Macaca fascicularis: one gene and its partners. The protein of the gene in region 3 binds, or shares a complex with, the protein of the main gene of each other region. Links are inferred from orthologs where the notes say so. Each region holds a gene or a part of one and is shown on either strand. Other genes may lie near its edges. The genes, in order: DRC9, DRC12 and DRC4.

What was found.
Region 1: DRC4 (region 3) and DRC9 share a complex: the UniProt entries of both Homo sapiens proteins name them as parts of the nexin-dynein regulatory complex. The link is inferred for Macaca fascicularis from reciprocal best matches to the Homo sapiens genes DRC4 and DRC9.
Region 2: DRC4 (region 3) and DRC12 share a complex: the UniProt entries of both Homo sapiens proteins name them as parts of the nexin-dynein regulatory complex. The link is inferred for Macaca fascicularis from reciprocal best matches to the Homo sapiens genes DRC4 and DRC12.

Annotation. Positions count from the first base shown.
Region 1 is NC_088376.1:925,866-931,842, reverse strand, and holds part of DRC9 (dynein regulatory complex protein 9), read right to left. Parts: intron 3,998-5,977; coding exon 3,836-3,997; intron 2,649-3,835; coding exon 2,574-2,648; intron 1-2,573. UniProt on the Homo sapiens protein: Component of the nexin-dynein regulatory complex (N-DRC), a key regulator of ciliary/flagellar motility which maintains the alignment and integrity of the distal axoneme and regulates microtubule sliding in motile axonemes.
Region 2 is NC_088388.1:118,065,427-118,071,503, forward strand, and holds the start of DRC12 (dynein regulatory complex protein 12), read right to left. Parts: upstream 3,812-6,077; 5' UTR 3,769-3,811; intron 3,471-3,768; 5' UTR 3,459-3,470; coding exon 3,398-3,458; intron 2,972-3,397; coding exon 2,897-2,971; intron 1,828-2,896; coding exon 1,708-1,827; intron 857-1,707; coding exon 764-856; intron 1-763. UniProt on the Homo sapiens protein: Component of the nexin-dynein regulatory complex (N-DRC), a key regulator of ciliary/flagellar motility which maintains the alignment and integrity of the distal axoneme and regulates microtubule sliding in motile axonemes.
Region 3 is NC_088394.1:85,966,384-85,972,460, reverse strand, and holds the start of DRC4 (dynein regulatory complex subunit 4), read right to left. Parts: upstream 4,019-6,077; 5' UTR 3,988-4,018; coding exon 3,985-3,987; intron 1-3,984. UniProt on the Homo sapiens protein: Component of the nexin-dynein regulatory complex (N-DRC), a key regulator of ciliary/flagellar motility which maintains the alignment and integrity of the distal axoneme and regulates microtubule sliding in motile axonemes.

The DNA of each region.
Region 1 (5,977 bases), on a different chromosome or scaffold from region 3:
TTCACTTTCTTTAATTTATATATTTCTGTCTTACATTGTAGCTGGACATGGTGGTGCACAGCTGTAGTCCCAGCTACTCAGAAGACTGAGGTGGGAGGATCACTTGGGCCCAGGAGTTTGAGGCTGCAGTGAGCTATGATGGCACCACTGCACTGAAGGCTGGGAAACAGAGAGACCCTGCCCCTAAAAAATAAAAAATAAAAAAATACATACTTATGTATTGCTTGTGTTATTGGGCTGAAGATCTGAGAAACTCTGGCGTCATCCCTTCGTGATCCATTTATCCAACAACTCACTGATAAATATCCAACACCTGCCAGGTATCTCACACTTGAAACAGGTAACATGATACATAGTTCTGAAACTGCAGGGCTACAGAACCCTAATTCTAATAGCCTACCAGATATTTTTTTCAGTAAAGACCTGCAAGATAGCATCTACAAATTCTCCTTAACCACACATTTGGAATCGTTGACTGAAAACTCATTAGCTTTTCCAAAAAGCAAGCTGTATTATAACTAAGCTGGAAAATTTTCTCTTTGTTCATCCAACAGGGATATTTTGAAAGACTCTAGCTGGGGCTGGGCGCGGTGGCTGGCGCGGTGGCTCACGCCTGTAATCCCAGCACTTTGGGAGGCTGAGGCAGGTGGATTACCTGAGGTCAGGAGTTCTAGACCAGCCTGGCCAACATGGTGAAACCCCGTCTCTACTAAAAATACAAAAATTAGCCAGGCGTGGTGACAGGCACCTGTAGTCCCAGCTACTCGGGAGGCTGAGGCAGGAGAATCGCTTGAACCCAGGAGGCGGAGGTTGCAGTGAGCCGAGATCATGCCACTGCACTCCAGCCTGGATGGTAAAGCAAGACTGCATCTCAAAAAAACCCCCAAAAAACAAAGTAAAGAAAGACTCCAGCTACACTTAGACATACTTCTAACCTTAGATATATTATAGACCCAGCTTGGTTATTAGTATTGAAAATGCTTTTAAAACCACTTCTGTCATATATATTTCACATAAGAAGAAATAAATTGAGTAAACATGGAAAAATGTTATGTTCACTTCTATTAATAAGCAAAAAAAACCAAAAAACAAAAAAAAACAAAACAACTCATTAAATTAGCAGACTTTGAAAAATATTTAAAATGGCTACTAATGTTGAAGAGACCTTGAAATGACTGCCTGCAACACTGCTAGCGGCAGCACAGGTTAGAGAGTCGGCAATGTTTATCAAAAGTCACAAAATACCAGTCTCTGAAATAATCATCTTATGATTGAGATTTACTTTTAGTAAATAGTTGCCATGAAGAAAAATAGTTCTTTGGGCTAAGCTTTAATAAGTGCATTATTTATAATAATAAAACTTTGGAAACAACCTAAATATTAAAAAAAAAAATTTGTAACAAACTATGGCACAACCATTCAATGGAACATTAAACAACGATTTTCAATTATTTTATAAAGAAACTGTAATAACATAAAAAATGAAAAGCAATGAGTCATTTTAAAAATCCTCACTCAACTGGGAATGTTATTTTTATAACGTAAAAAATTAGTAAATCTTTTTTTTTTTTTTTTTTAGAGACAGAGTCTCGCTCTGTCACCCAGGCGGGAGTGAGTGGTGTGATCTCGGCTCACTGCAAGCTCTGCCTCCCAGGTTCAAACGATTCTTCTGCCTCAGCCTCCCGAATAGCTGGGATTACAGGGCTGCATCACCACGCCCGGCTAATTTTTGTATTTTTAGTAGAGATGGGGTTTCATCATGTTGACCTGGCTGGTCTAGAACTCCTGACCTCAGGTGATCCGCCGGCCTCGGCCTCTCAAAGTGCTGAGATTACAGGCGTGAGCCACTGCACCTGGCCTTTATTTTTCTTTTTTATTTATTGGCCACTATACTAATGGGAAAACATTTTAATATAGTCATAATTAAAAATAATTAATTTTAAAATTATGTCTTTTTTTTTGAGGCGGGGTCTTGCTCTGTTGCCCAGCTGGAGTACAGTGGCACAATCTCAGCTCACTGCAGCCTCTGCCTCCCAGGTTCAAGCAATTCTCCCACCTCAGCTTCCTGAGTAGCTGGGATTACAGGTGCCTGTCACCACGCCTGGCTAATTGTTGTATTTTTAATAGAGAGGGGGTTTCACCATGTTGGCCAGGCGGGTCCCGAACTCCTGACCTCAGGTGATCCACCCGCTTCAGACTCCCAAAGTGCTGAGATTACAGGCGTGAGCCACTGTGCCCGGCCCATAAATTTTTAAGTCATAATTTGACTTACTAAATTTTGTCATAAATTAAGTCATAATTTAAAAATTATGAGTATACAGCAATATAGGAATCAAAAAATTTCTTATCTAAGCTCAATGATAAAAGCGGAAAACAAAATTTTACTTGTACTCTCTCAGATTGTAACTATATAAGATATCTATTCAGATGCACAACCCTGAAATAACATGTGAGCTCAAGCTCATTAGGCTGAAAGAATGATGGCTGGTTTTTCTTCAAAATATTTTTTTTGTTTCCTCAGTATGAGCAGAGTACAAAAAGACTCAAAGCACAGAAAAGTTTTGGTGACCCACCTGCTGCTGCTTTCTAAGGAACATTTCAATGTCCATATGAATCCGGGCCTCTTCTTCGGTTTTCATCCTGAGTTTCTGTAAGAACAATAATCAGACATCAGCACGTCTTCCCTGCAGGGCTGTGAATCAGAAGTTCTCAAGATTAGAGGAGCAGCTTGGTCGGCAGCTCAGGTTTCCTTTACCAGCTGGGATGCCGGGAATTCAGTTTCGTGCAATTCCTGTTCACAAACACCGCAGAGACACATGACGCGGCACTGTCTGGACTGTGTTAGTGTCCCTAACGAAAGGTGCGCAATCCCGTGAATTGAAAAGAGGTGCCCATTGAAGGAGAGAAACGGTGCGCCAAGGGCACAAGGCTGTGGGGCCTAAAAAAGGGAAATTCCAGAGTGCCAGGAAGACTGTTGTCGTGGCCTTAAGCCACGTTAGTCTCAGAGCAAGGAGTCCTCCCACACACAAATTCCATGGTCTAAGGACGTTTGTTCCTTCTTCCGTCTTCCCATCTGCCTGCTGCTCTTTGCGTGTGTGTGTGTGTGTGTGTGTGTGTGTGTGTGTGTGTGTGTGTGAGACAGAGAGAGAGAGAGAGAGAGAGAGAGAGAGAGAAGGGAGTCTCCCTATGTTGCCCAGGCTGGCTTCAAACTCAAGGATCCTCCTGCCTCCCTTCCAATTAGCTGGGACTAGTGCCTGGCTTTGTGTATGTGTGTGCAGTGTGTGTGTGTGTGTGTGTGTGTGTGTGTGTGTGTGTGTGCGCGCGCGCGCGCCATTTCGCATTCCCCTCAAAGAAGATCTACCACTTTCTTCCTCCTGATATTTTTCACCATGACTTCTCATCTCCATAAATTCAGGTTTGAATGAAGTTCACCTCTCAAGATGCTGTATTTCTTACTGGAGGAGTGAAAAGTACTGGCTAGATAAAACAAACAGCAGCAAAATCCTGCCATAACTAAGGATCTTGTTTTGCCCTCTCCCTATAATTAGAGAAATGGCGATTGGTTTGATAAAATAAGAAGTGACCGAGGAGAGAAAGTACAGCCAATTTTCAAAGTCATTATGAGGCAGGAGAAGGAGGCTACAGCCCGTTGGAATCTCCGCTTGCGAACATGTGTATCCTCATTTAGGCTTCCATTTTCAACCTCAAGTGGAGGGGCTGTTGCCGAGAGAGATGGAGGAAATCTTCATCTCCCTCCTTTGTTAGCTGAGACAGGATCAGGAGTGACAGCTCAAATGCCATCTCCTGGGTTCTTCACTAATGTCCCAGGGATTACCTCAATCTCTTCCAGCAAGACTTCCTCTGTTCTGTTACACTTTCTCTGGGTCTGGGCAATCTGCAGCTCAGTATTGGTTTTCATGTAGCGATTCTCCAAGTTGGATTTTGCTTTCATCTCTTGCAGTTGGTCCTTGAGGTTAGCAATATATTCATTCTGACTCTGCAATGGAAAGACCAGGTTTCTAAATTGAAAATACATTCTACCGCCATTCAGTTCAGCCAGTGGCTTAAGGTTCCCTTTTATAAGTGTAAATCAATAAGGAACGGGAACTAGTTTTCCGCTGTCACACAACGGGAAATTTAGCCAACAATCATGAAGAGAGGAAAGTGAGTAATACAGCAGTTCGAAGAATCAGGGCGAATCAGGGCGGAGATTAGTTCCCAGGCACATTACTGGTATGTCCATATTTCCCACACAGATTTCTCATTTTGGTAGGAAGAACACTGGTCAAAATGATGAAAAGAACTGACTTCCCACCCAGGCCTCCAGCTGTGTGAACTTGGCCTAGTCAAATCTCCAACTTTTTTACTTTCTATAAAACACACACACACACACACACACACAACACCCACCCTGACTGAAGTATCTCAGAGATTATTAGGTTTCATTGAGAACACGTGTGAAAACGCTTTCTTTTTGCAGGTCACCAAGTGCTTGGCAATTGCAAGGACTCAATAGTCATTAAGAAAAATATTTATTCAGCACCAGGCTGAATATTTATTCAGCACCAGGCTCTTCCTAGAGCTAGGCTCTAGGAAAATCATGGAGATCTAAACAGACATATTCCCTGCCCTCATAGAGCTTACAGTCTAATAGAAGAGAGGTGGTTAAAAAGAGACAAACACATGTGTAAACTTTCAAAAATTGTGCAAAATGATAGAAAAGGAAAGCTTGACAGGCTGTGGGAGGAAATAACAAGGGAGGAGTCCATTCGACTCTGGAAGGCCTGAGAGGGACTCTCTCGGGAAAGTGATGGTTCATTCGATGTACATTAGACTCTGGAAGGTCTGAGAGGGACTCTTGGGAAAGCGATAGTTCATTCGAGGTACATTAGACTCTGGAAGGCCTGAGAGGAACTCTCTCCAGAAAGTGATGGTTCATTCGAGGTACATTAGACTCTGGAAGGCCTGAGAGGAACTCTCTCCAGAAAGTGATGGTTCATTCGAGGTACATTAGACTCTGGAAGGCCTGAGAGGAACTCTCTCCAGAAAGTGATGGTTCATTCGAGGTACATTAGACTCTGGAAGGTCTGAGAGGGACTCTCTCAAGGAAGCGATGGTTCATTCAATACCTGAAGGATACGTAAGCCCACCCCATGAAAAACAGGCTTGGCCAGGCACCGGGACTCACGCCTGTAATCCCAGCACTTTGGGAGGCTGAGGCAGGGGCATCACCTTAGGTCAGTAGTTTGAGACCAGCTTGGCCAACATGGTGAAACCCCATCTCTACTAAAAATATGAAAAATAGCTGGGCATGCTGGCGTGTGCCTGTAATCCCAGCTACGCGGGAGGCTGAGGCAGAAGAATCGCTTGAACCCGGGAGGTGGGGGTTGAAGTGAGCTGAGACCGCGCCACTGCACTCCAGCCTGGGTGACAGAATGAGACTCTGTCTCAAAAAAGAAAGAAAAGAAAAAGAAGAAGAAAAAAGGAAAAAAGAATAGAAAAATAGGGTTAAGGGAACTCTAAAAAAAAAAATAAGAAAAAGTATATGCCCAAATCCTGAAGCCATCAAGACCTGAATACATTCCAGGAATGGAAAGAAAACTCCGGAGGCTCTAGCCTAGTGAGGGTTGAGGGGACGACAGGATGAGGCTGGAGGTAGGTAAGGGCACCACACAGGACCTCGGACGCCTGACTGAGAAATTCAGGTTTTATTCCAACTGTGGTGGGAATCCTTGGAAAGCTTTTAGTCAGGGAGGTAACATTTGTTTGAAAAGAACTGTTTGGAAGAATCATTGTGTGAGTGAGTCCACAGGGAGGTGCCCTGACAGCACAGCAAACAAGCACACAACCAGCAGCAAAAGTGCTTCAACCGAGGTCCGCCCTCCTCTAGACATCAACCGCCTTTCTTCTCTTTTTTTACTTTTTTTGAGACAGAGTCTTGCTCTGTTGCCCAGGCTGGAGTGCAGTGGCGTGATCT
Region 2 (6,077 bases), on a different chromosome or scaffold from region 3:
AAAGGCTTCCTAGTTTTTAAAAATATTTTTGCTTATTGGGAGTGTTTATTCATTTATTTAGTGAACAGTTATTTAGGACCTACCGGGTGCTAGGTCTTGTAAGTAAATAAGTCAAACATTTTCCCTTAGTTTCGTTGTAGAAATTAGCTAAACTAAAAGGGAATATGTTTTGCTCACAAGAGACATGGCAGTGGTGGGGAGTTAGGTAGGGCTGGACTTGGAGAGGAGGAAATGGGGTGTGACGCCTACCTCTTCTTTTTTATTTTTATTTATTTTTTTGAGACAGAGTTGCTCTGTCGCCCAGGCTGGAGTGCAATGGCGCGATCTCGGCTCACTGCAACCTCTGCCTCCCGGATTCAAGCAATTCTCCTGCCTCAGCCTCCCGAGTAGCTGGGATTACAGGTGTGCGCCACCACATCCGGCTAATTTTTATATTTTTAGTAGAGACAGGGTTTCACCATTTGGCCAGGCTGTTCTCGAACTCCTGACCTCAGGCGATCCGCCCGCCTTGGCCTCCCATAGTGCTGGGATTACAGGCCTGAGCCACTGCGCCTGGCACCTCTTCTTTACTTACAACAGAGATTCTTGGCATCCCGAACCCTCTGCTCCAGTCCTCGGTGGTGGAGGGTCAGTGAAAGTGGGGAAAGTGATCCCAGAGCCCAGGTGGCAGCTTTCTGGAGCAGAGACTTTGAAGTCTGCCCCTTCATGCTGGCCCTTGCTGCAACTCTTGGAGACAAGGGGCTTGGGGGATGGGGAAACCTACCTAGCTGCCCCCGAAGGCCCTTGACTTCTTCCTCCAGCTGCTTGCTGCGGGATTGCATATCCTCCTGCAGGGCATGGCACTGGCGACTCATCTCTGGGGTGGGGGCAGTAGGCCGCCAGGGACCCAGGTCGGAGATGGAGCGATGGAGAAAGGAAATGAAGTTGTGGGTGGGGAAGACTCTACTTGGTCTAGTGGAACAGGAGCACAAAGGCCTTCTTGGTTCTTCTTTTTCTTTTTCTTTTTTTTTTTTTTGAGACGGGGTCTCGCTCTGTCGCCCAGGCTGGAGTGCAGTGGTGCGATCTTGGCTCACTGCAAGCTCCGCCTCCCGGGTTCACCCCCTTCTCCTGCCTCAGTCTCCCGAGTAGCTGGGACTACAGGCACCTGCCACCACACCCGGCTAATTTTTTGCATTTTTAGTAGAGACGGAGTTTCACCATGTTAGCCAGGATGGTCTCGATCTCCTGACCTCGTGATCCGCCCGCCTCGGCCTCCCAAAGTGCTGGGATTACAGGTGTGAGCCACCACTCCCGGCCCATGGTCTTCTTGGTTCTTTTTGTGATTCTGAGAAGCTAGAGACCATGAAAACCTGAGGAAGGGAAAGGAAGCCCAACCCACCTCCCCCACCGTCCAGCTTTGGATGGGGATGCTAGTCCTTCTCCCCTCCCATAGGATGGTTGAGGTGATGGCTATGACTGCATGTGTATCCTACACAGCATCAAGCACATGGCACCAGGCATCCTGGCAGGCCCCTGCCTGGGATCCCAGGAACCTACCTGCCTTTGATTCCTGCAGGATCCTGCCTGATTTGTACTGTTCGGGGAAGACCAAGACCAGGCCTGGCAGTTGGAAGCCCTCCTTGTTTCCCTTCCTTGCATCATCTGACCCTGCTGGTTGTCTTCCTCCAGGCCCCTGTCTCCTGCCCACCTGCTCAACAGACCACACACCTGCATATATGGCCTTCCCTTCACTTCGGGCCCCTTCCAGCTCAGCCTCCACCCTTTGCAGCCTCTGCTTCAGCTGGTCTTCGGAAGCCTTGGCTCGACGGGCTTCATCCCTCCGTACAGCTGTGAGCAGTCCCAGAGCCACTGTCAGGACTGGCTGGGGCCCGCTAAATCAGCCCCCATGAACTTGATGAATTTTGCCCGTCTCTAGAAATCTGGTGGCGGGGCGTCCAGCCTCTTATTCTCTCTCTGGGTTTTGTTGTTTTTGTTTTTTATCCCTAGAGTCTCACAGGCTCCTCATTATTAAGAAGTAAAGACTCTCTCCATGTTCTGCCTATACAAAATAGCTTTCCGGATAGCCCGGCATGGTGGCTCATGCCTGTAATCCCAATATTTTGGGGGGCTTAGGTGGGAGAATTGCTTGAGGCCAGGAGTTTGAGACCTGCCTGGGCAACAGAGTGAGACCTTGTCTCTATAAGAAAAATAAATAGGGCCAGGCGCAGTGGCTCATGCCTGTAATCCCAGCACTTTGGGAGGCCAAGGTGGGAGGATCATGAGGTCAAGAGTTCGAGACCAGCTTGGCCAACATGGTGAAAACCTGTCTCTAATAAGAATACAAAAATTAGCCGGGTGTGGTGGCTGTGTGCCTGTAATCCCAGCTACTTGGGAGGCCGAGGCAGGGGAATCACTTGAGCCTGGGAGGCAGAGGTTGCAGTGAGCCAAGATCGCGCCACTGCACTCCAGCCTGGGCAACAGAGCACAGGACTCTGTCTTAAAAAAAAAGATAGTAAAATAAAATAAAATGAAATAATAAAATAAAATAAATTTTAAAAAAGAAAAATAAATAAATAAATAAATAAAGTAGCTAGGTAGGGTGGTGTGCACCAGCTACTCGTGAAGCTGAGGTGGGAAGATTGTTGGGGTCCAGGAGTTTGAGATTACAGTGAGCTATGATCACACCACTGCAGTCCAGCCTGGGCAATAGAGCAAGATTCTGTCTAAAAAAAAAAAAAGCTTCCTTTATCAACTCTCACTGCCCACCCCTCTCTCATTGTCTTTTTCCACTAGGGGATGGTTAGGGTTCAACTTAGCCCCCCACTGTATCTCCAACTCTCCAATCCCCCAGGATACAGAAATGCCCCATTTCACTTGCCCTGTTGCCCACCCCCATGCCAACTTCTACCCTCCTTACCCAAGTGGTCTCGGAGCAGCTCCTTCTCCAGCACCACCAGCCTGTGCCTGGACTCAGCCTCCACATCTGCACCTGCTGTGGCAAGTGGCAGAGCCTCAGCTCTTCGTGATCTCAGCATTCCTCACTCTCCTTGCGTCCTCGCCCCACACCCTGCACTTTTGCCACAGGAGACCTGAGGACCACTAAATGAGGGATCCATGGTGGCAGAGTCTACTGAAGTCAGCACTGTGTCCTTACCAACCAGCACATAACAGATATGCAAAATACACATGACAAATATATTAGGAAGGCACAAAGCTAGATGGTGCTTAAAGGACAGCGTGAGTGACCATTTCCCCACTTCCTCAGCTCCCTGCATCTGACTTCAAGGACACGAAAGAGGAAGGTCAAGAGAGTTCCATCCTGTCATGTAGAAGGCTGAATTCTCTCTGGAGGAGCTCTGCGTGGTCTTCATGCCAGAACATGGAGAAGCAGGGGGCACCTCCACCCACCATGACTCACCCCAGTTCTTTTTCTTCTGCGCCCCAGATTTCTTCCCTTTTTCTTTGTTTTTAAGTGGCATCTCCTTGCTGTCCTGGGAGAAGGAGGGGACCTTATGTTTAGGTCTGGACACAGGGATGCTTTCCTGACTGAATCAGGAGTCTCAGGGGAGTCTCCTGGTTCTACTCCAAATTTGCATCTCATACTCTTCAGAAAAGTCAGTTCACAGTCTCTTTGGAACCTCAGGCAGGGTTGGGGTCAACGGGGAGGGTGAAGTTTTTTCTCTCAACCAGGCTGACTGTACGGAAGTCACTCCTCACAACTCTCTTTTAGATAAATCCCTGTACCTGCTCCCCTCCCTCTTCCCATCATCCTCAACCCCCTCTTCCTACCTGTAGGATCCTCTCCTGCCAGTGTTGGGGCTCCCTGTGGAGTGACCCACCCGTGGGGAGTGGCAGAGAGAAGGCCCAACTAGCGAGGAGCCTGAGGCGGGGCCTGGGTCCTGGGAGCCAATCCTTGGTGGCAAATTTCTCTTGAGGGCAGGACTGAGGGCTGGAAGGTTGGGTTTCGGGAGGCTGTATGTTGTCCAGGCAACTGGGAAACATGGAGTTGGTAGGAAGGTGGAATGGGCTAAATCAGCTCACAAAGCTTAAAATATCAAGGTCTCAAAGGGTCAGTTCTTTCCTTATCCCAAAACCCTAAGTATAGTTTGAAAAGAAAGGGCTTTGGAGGCCGATTGGTTATGATTCATTGCCACGTAGACATGGCCTGCAATTTGGAGACTTCCAAATTCAGATGTACACATCTGAGATAATATGTTGTGCTGATACAGAGGAAAAGGACTGACAGTAGCCATGTTGGACAATTGACATCCCGAGGTCCCATCAGCAAAATGACATTAGTAGGTTTAAAACTGAAGATCTAAGCTGGGGGCGGTGGCTCATGCCTATAATCCCAACATTTTCAGAAGCTGAGGCAGGAGGATTACTTGAGGCCAGGAGTTCAAGACCAGCCTGGACAACACAGTGAGACCTCATTTCTACAAAAAATTAAAAAATTAGCCTGGCAGGGTGGTGCACACCTGTTAGTCTCAGCTACTCGGGAGGCTGAAGCAGGAGAACCACTTGAGCCTGGGAGGTTGAGGCAGCAGTGAGCTATGATTGCACCACTGCACTCCAGCCTGGATGACAGAGGGAGACCCTGTCTCAAACAAACAAACAAACAAACAAACAAAAACCCCAAACCACTGAAGATCCTCTTCAGTACACTGTGGAATGAGGGTAATAAGTACAGGAATAGGTAGTCGAGGGCGTTTCCCACTTCAGAGAAATGAGACACAAAGGAACAGCAGACCCATGGACTCTAGGGTACTGACCTAGAGGGATGCAAGTGTGCAGGAAAGTGCTCAGGTTAGAGACAAGACATTTGAGTTTGAGTCCCAACTGTGGATATGTAAACTGAGGCAAGCCATTTGACTTTGCTCAGCATCAGTTTCCTGATCTTTAAATGTTTGATTTTGTAGCTCTTGAAAAGCCTGTGTTTTAGCTAGGTGTTTACATGGCTATCTTCTCTCCTAGTTACTTAATCTATTGCTACATTTCCCCATTCCCTTGTGTGGTTGATTTTCAGACAGGTGTTGAGACATTGCTTTGTGAGGCTCCCTGCAGCATAGAGTTGGTTGGGGCTCCCTCTAGTGGACTTGTTTGACCTTCTCCTGAGTTTCCCACATTTTTGCTTTTAAATTATTTACTGGGCAATACTGGGGGTGACTCCCTTTGGGGATACTTCTTAGTGTCCTGCTGGAGCCAGGAGTGGCTGGAATAATTAATGTGGGGGAGAGAGTATGACAGGTGGCCCTCCCTTGTCAGGCAGCCTTCACTCTCCCTGCAGCTCTGTGCTATCCTGAGGCTTGCCATCTATCTGCCACTTGGATCTCTGGGCACCATACTGGTTAGAGTGAAAACAGCAGACACTTCAGGGCTTTTCTCCTTTTGGATTAGGGGACCTGCAGACCGTTTCTTTAGGTTTTTTGTTTGTTTGTTTTGTTTTTGTTTTTGTTTTGAGACAGCGTCTCGCTCTGTTGCCCAGGCTGGAGTGCAGTGGCACGATCTCGGCTCACTGCAAGCTCCACCTCCCGGGTTCATGCTGCGACTGCAGGCATCCACCACCACGCCCCGCTAATTTTTTTGTATTTTTAGTAGAGATGGGGTTTCACTGTGTTAGCCAGGATGGACTCGATCTCCTGACCTCGTGATCCACCCGCCTCGGCCTCCCAAAATTCTGGGATTACAGGCGTGAGCCACCGCGCCTGGCATTTTTTTTTTCTCAGTGTCTCTCTCTGTCACCCAGGCTGGAGTGCAGTGGCATGATCACGGCTCACTGCAGCCTCAGCCTCTCCAGGCTCTGGTGATCTTCCCACCTCAACCTCCTGAGTAGCCGGGACTATAGGCGCATGCCACCACACCTGGCTAATTTTTATATTTTTTGTAGAGACGGGGTTTACCATATTGGCCAGCATGGTCTTGAACTCCTGGCCTCAAGTGATCTGCCTGCCTTGGCCTCCCAAGTTTCTTGGATTACAGGCGTGAGCCACTGCACCAGGCTATCTTTTTTTTTCAGACAGAGTCTTGTTCTGTCACCAGGCTGGAGTACAGTGATGTGATCTCGGCTCACTGCAACCTCCACCTCCTGGGTTCAAGCA
Region 3 (6,077 bases):
TCGGCCTCCCAAAGTGCCGGGATTACAAGTGTGAGCCACTGCGACTGGCCCATTTATTTTCATTTATGTTTCATTTAGTCTTGAGTGAAAATATTAGGTGGAGCCAGATGCCGTGGCTCACACCTGTAATCCCAGCACTTTGGGAGGCCGAGGTGGGCAGATCACTTAAGATCAGGAGTTCAAGACCAGCCTGGCCAACATGGTGAAACCCCGTCTCTACTAAAAACACAAAAAAATTAGCCAGGCGTGGTGGTGGGCACCTGCAGTCCCATCTTCTCGCGAGGCCGAGGCAGGAGAATGGCGTGAACCCAGCAGGCAGAGCTTGCAGTGAGCCAAGATCGCGTCACTGCACTCCAGCCTGGGCGACAGAGCGAGACAAGAAAGAAGGAAAGAAGAAGGAAAGAAGGAAGGAAGGAAGGAACAAAGGAAGGAAGGAAGGAAGGAAGGAAGGAAGGAAGGAACGAAGGAACGAAGGAAGGAACGAAGGAAGGAACGAAGGAAGGAAGGAAGGAAGGAAGGAAGGAAGGAAGGAAGGAAGGAACGAAGGAAGGAACGAAGGAAGGAAGGAAGGAAGGAAGGAAGGAAGGAAGGAACGAAGGAAGGAACGAAGGAAGGAACGAAGGAAGGAAGGAAGGAAGGAGGGAAGGAAGGAAGGAGGGAAGGAAGGAAGGAAAGGGAAGGAAGGAAGGAGGGAAGGAAGGAAGGAAAGGGAAGGAAGGAAGGAGGGAAGGAAGGAAGGAAAGGGAAGGAAGGAAGGAAAGGGAAGGAAGGAAGGAAGGAAAGAAGAGAGAGAGAAAGAAAAAGAAAATATTATGTGGAAATTTTAGAAAACACTGATGAGAAGAAAACAGAAAAATTATCATCCATATTCCTTGGTCCAAGGATCCAACAGACCGAGGCCCATATTCCCACAACCTAATAGAAATAGAAGTAGTTTGGTAGTGGTTTTTTTTTTTTTTTTTTTTTTTTTTTTGAGACGGAGTCTGGCTCTGTCGCCCGGGCTGGAGTGCAGTGGCCGGATCTCAGCTCACTGCAAGCTCCGCCTCCCGGGTTTACGCCATTCTCCTGCCTCAGCCTCCCGAGTAGCTGGGACTACAGGCGCCCGCCGCCTCGCCCGGCTAGTTTTTTGTATTTTTTTAGTAGAGACGGGGTTTCACCGTGTTCGCCAGGATGGTCTCGATCTCCTGACCTCGTGATCCGCCCTCTCGGCCTCCCAAAGTGCTGGGATTACAGGCTTGAGCCACCGCGCCCGGCCGGTAGTGGTTTTTTTTGTTTGTTTGTTTGTTTGTTTTGAGATGAAGTCTTGCTCTGTCACCCAGGTTGGAGTGCAGTGGCACAATCCTGGCTCACTGCAACTGGAACAGGAATTAAAAGAAATTAAAAAGTGTGTAAGCAGAAACTCAGTTGTATGTAAGAAAACCCAATCTCCCTGAAAGAGAAAGAGCTGGAGTGCTTTAAAAAGTAACTGCCTGTCGGCTGGGCGCGGTGGCTCAAGCCTGTAATCCCAGCACTTTGGGAGGCCGAGACGGGCGGATCACGAGGTCAGGAGATCGAGACCATCCTGGCCAACACGGTGAAACCCCGTCTCTACTAAAAAATACAAAAAACTAGCCGGGCGAGGTGGCGGGCGCCTGTAGTCCCAGCTACTCGGGAGGCTGAGGCAGGAGAATGGCGGGAACCCGGGAGGCGGAGCTTGCAGTGAGCTGAGATCCGGCCACTGCACTCCAGCCCGGGAGAGAGAGCGAGACTCCGTCTCAAAAAATAAATAAATAAATAAATTAAAAAAAAGAAAAAAAAGTAACTGCCTGTTTTTTGGTGGTAGTGAGCCTGATCTCTCCTCCCTTCCCAGGCATTGTGAAGACCCTGTTTCTCTAGCGCAGCTGCAAGGTCACTAGGCAGATAAACTCGTCGCAAAACATGTTTTTCCTTAAAAAGTAAGAAATGATGTAACGTACGTTTCAACTGAACAACTGTCTTTGCTTCTTGCGTCTGTAGTATGCTTCCCCCTGCACAGATCTCCCGTCTGCCACACGAAACGCTTAAAAGGTAACTTGGCCGAGTGCAGTGGCTCGTGCCTGTAATCCCAGCACTTTGGGAGGCCGAGGCGGGCGGATCACAAGGTCACGAGATTGAGACCATCCTGGCTAACACGGTGAAACCCCATCTCTACTTAAAAAATACAAAAAATTAGCCAGGCGTGGTGGTGTACGCCTGTAGTCCCAGGTACTCGGTAGGCTGAGGCAGGAGAATGGTGCGGAGCTTGCAGTGAGCTGAGATCCGGCCACTGCACTTCAGCCTGGGCAACAGAGCGAGACTCCATCTCAAAAAAAAAAAGGTAACTTGACTCTTTGTTCAGGGCTCAGTCCTTTGGATGTTAATCTGACTGGGCCAGTGCACCTAAATAATTAATAAATATCCTCCTGAACTGCATCAGTCTGATTCCTTAAAAATCCCACTGCACAACCTCTACCTTCCAGGTTCAAGCAATTCTCCTGCCTCAGCCTCCCAAGTAGCTGGGACTACAGGTGCACACCACCACACTCAGGAAATTTTTTTTTTTTTTTTGTATTTTTAGTAGAGACAGGGTTTCACCATGTTGGCCAGGCTGGTCTCCAACTCCTGACCTCAAGTGATCCACCCACCTTGGCCTCCCAACGTGCTGGGTTTACGGGTGTCAGCTACCATGCCCCGCCTTTGTTTTTGTTTTTGTTTTGTTAGAGACGTAGTCTTGCTCTGTTGCCAGGCTGGAGTGCACTGGTGCCATCTCAGCTCACTGCAAGCTCCGCCTCCCAGGTTCACGCCATTCTCCTGCCTCAGCCTCCCGAGTAGCTGGAACTACAGGTGCACACCACCACGCCCAGCTAATTTCTGTATTTTTACTAGATACAGAATTTCACCATGTTGGCCAGGATGGTCTCGATCTCTTGACCTCAAGATCCGCCTGCCTCGGCCTCGCAAAGAGCTGGGATTACAGGTGTGAGTCACGGCGCCAAGACTCCTGGCCTAGTTTGGTAGTTTCTTTCACAGTCTGTTTTCAGAAGACCATTCCTGGGCCAAAAAACTCATCCACTTAAATCTTAATTCGTAATGTACTGCTCTCTTTCTAATCCCTCCACTCCAAGAAGGCTACCTCATCAGAAAGCCCTAAAGGCCGCAGAGGAAGGTTCAGCATCACTTAGCATTTGGGACCTTCACAGCCAGCTGCAGGGACTTGGTGGGGCTCCCAGAGCTTTCCTCCCCCACCAGCTGAAACCCACCCTGCCACACCTGCCCAGAAATTGAGTTACTGACAATTCCTGTATCACAAAGGGAGAGCCCTTTACACGAGAAAGACAGAGATGGCGCTGATGAGGCCACGAGCTCCGCCTTCCTCTTCTCGGTCTGGGCCTGACTCCTGCCAGGCTTTCTAAGGGAACAGTGGTTCCTGTATCCCAAGGTTGTGCCCTGGGCACTCCAAGGGCACTGGACCTGTCCAGGCCTCCTTGGTGTAGAGGGATCCCTAGCCACTCTGGTGTGCCCCAGGCTCTCCATTCCGGAGACCAAAGGGCTTAGGGTAATCCCTGCCCCCGGCTCTATTCAATGGGCACCCTGGTGCGCTGCAAAGCCCCTGTGAGGTGAAACCCTAGGTCCCAGGGATCCAACAGACCGAGTCTCCCATTCCAGGATGGGAGTCCCCTTGACGCATTTTCACTCTTCTGGGGACCATGCGCTGCGGACCCTGGGTCCTGGGCTTTCTACGACCACCCCAGGGAGCACAGGGCTCTGGACAGCCCAGGTCTCAGCTCCGAGTGCGGGCAGGCCCCGGGGCCAGGAGCATCCTGAGTTTGCCCCACGGAGACCCTCACAAGAGCACCGAGCTCTCAATTCCAGGAACCCAGCGCTCCAGTCCTCCCATTCCCAGGGTCTCTGTGTACCGAGGCCTCCCTGCCCCGAGGTCTCCAGGCCCCTGCCGAGGACCTCAGCCCCGCTCCAGCCCCTGCTCACCATGACGCCAGCGGACAGGCCCAGCCGCGACTCCCGGACCAGCGCGCCCGCCCCCCGGAAGCCACGCCGTTTCCCGGCAACCGCTGGGCGCTACCGCGAGAAGTCACCAGATCCTCGCGAGACTCCGCCGGGCCCCAGCCCTGCCAACCGCGGGAGTGCGTCCCTAGAGACGGGCGTCAGGAAGGAACCCGGTAGTGAAAGTTGGGAAGATCTCGCCGGCAGCCCAGAAGCCCAGAAGCCTTTCGCTGCAGGACATGTTTTGCTTATTGCTGGAACCTAAGCTCCATGAGGAGAGAACCGTTCACTTCTATCCTTCAGCGCCTAGAACAGCACAGAGCACGTGCTCAGTAAAGATGTGCTGAGTGGCTGGATGAGTGAATGAAGGACCGTTGAATAAATGGTCATCTGCCACCCAGGGCTCTGAAACATCACCCAAATGAGATTCAAATCTGGGCAAAGACTCTACCCGCTGGGATTCACTCACCCCACCCGCCCCGCTTTGAGGGGTCCTCCCAGCTGCTGCGCTGGTGGCTTTACACACACCTCAAAAACGTAGAAATAGGAAAGAAAAATAGGTTCCAGTTTAGTTCCAAATGTTTGAAATCAGGAAGTATCCCTTTCACAAAAATAAACTGCTCTTCCTGAAAAGGCCTCCTCCCCAGTCCTCAGGGATGAAGAGAAACCAGAGACTTTCCGACAGGCCCTGCAGAAAACACACAGTTGTCACTTTCCTTTTCTAACTAATCTCTTGTTCTGAAGACTGCTAGGCATTTTACAATTTCTAAAGTGAACCTGCCATCCCTGAAACCACCCTGTTACCTACATACAACCATCTACGTCACCCAGATGGCTGAGTTTGTCATAAACAGGTGCTTCTTGCTTTTTTTCTTTTCTTTTTTTTGGAGACAGGGTCTCCTTCTGTCGCCTAGGCTGTGATCACAACTCACTGCAGCCTCGACCTCCTGGACTCAAGCAATCCTCCCACCTCAGCCTCCTGAGAAGCTGGGACTACAGGTGTGAGACACCACACCCAGCTTTTTTAAATAAGTTTTTTATAGAGATGGGGTCATGCTTTATGGCCCAGAATGGTCTCAAACTCCTGGTCTCAAGCGATCCTCCTGCCTCAGCCTCCCAAAGTGCTGGGAGCACAACGTGAGCCCCACACCTGGCCGTAAGCTGTCATCTTTAACATCTTCTTAAAAAGTGGTCATCGGCCGGGCGCGGTGGCTCAAGCCTGTAATCCCAGCACTTTGGGAGGCCGAGACAGGTGGATCACGAGGTCAGGAGATCGAGACCATCCTGGCTAACACAGTGAAACCCCGTCTCTACTTAAAAAAAAAAAAAAAACTAGCCAGGCGAGGTGGCGGGCGCCTGTAGTCCCAGCTACTCAGGAGGCTGAGGCAGGAGAATGGCGTAAACCCGAGAGGCGGAGCTTGCAGTGAGCTGAGATCCGGCCACTGCACTCCAGCCTGAGCGACAGAGCAAGACTCTGTCTCAAAAAAAAAAAAAAAAAAAAAAGTGGTCATCTACTTGGGAGGTTGAGGTGGGACGATCATTTGAGCCCTGGAGGTGGAGGTTGCAGTGAGCCAAGATCACACCACTGCACTCCAGCCTAGGTAACAGAGTGAGACCTGAGACCATGTCTCGAAAAAAAAAAAAAAGGTCTTGCAGCAGATCTTGTTCTCCTGTGTGTCTTGGATGAAGATTCCAGAATCTATGCTCATAGAAAGTTGTGCTGGGGGCAAAGGGTGAGAAATGAAAGGCTTGGTGGACTTAGGTCTTCCCGTCCAGCTCATGCTGCCACATGAGCTGGGCTTGCTCAGGCCTCGGGCACCCACACAGTGGTGGGAATCTGAGAACCACTGTGATGAGAGACTTCCTGCTTGCCCACCCGAGTCCTGATTGTTCTTGGAGAGGAGCAGCCAGTTGGAAGAACTGCACTGGCTCAGCTTGTACAAAGCCGTGATTTATTTATAGTAAGCCCTGAGGCCTTGGTGAAGTCTGGCTGGTCACTGTGCCAGACTCCCTTGGCCTGAGGGGGCCTCCTCCCCCTGGGATAAGGTGGTCAGACGGTGACACTGGAGAGCACAGTG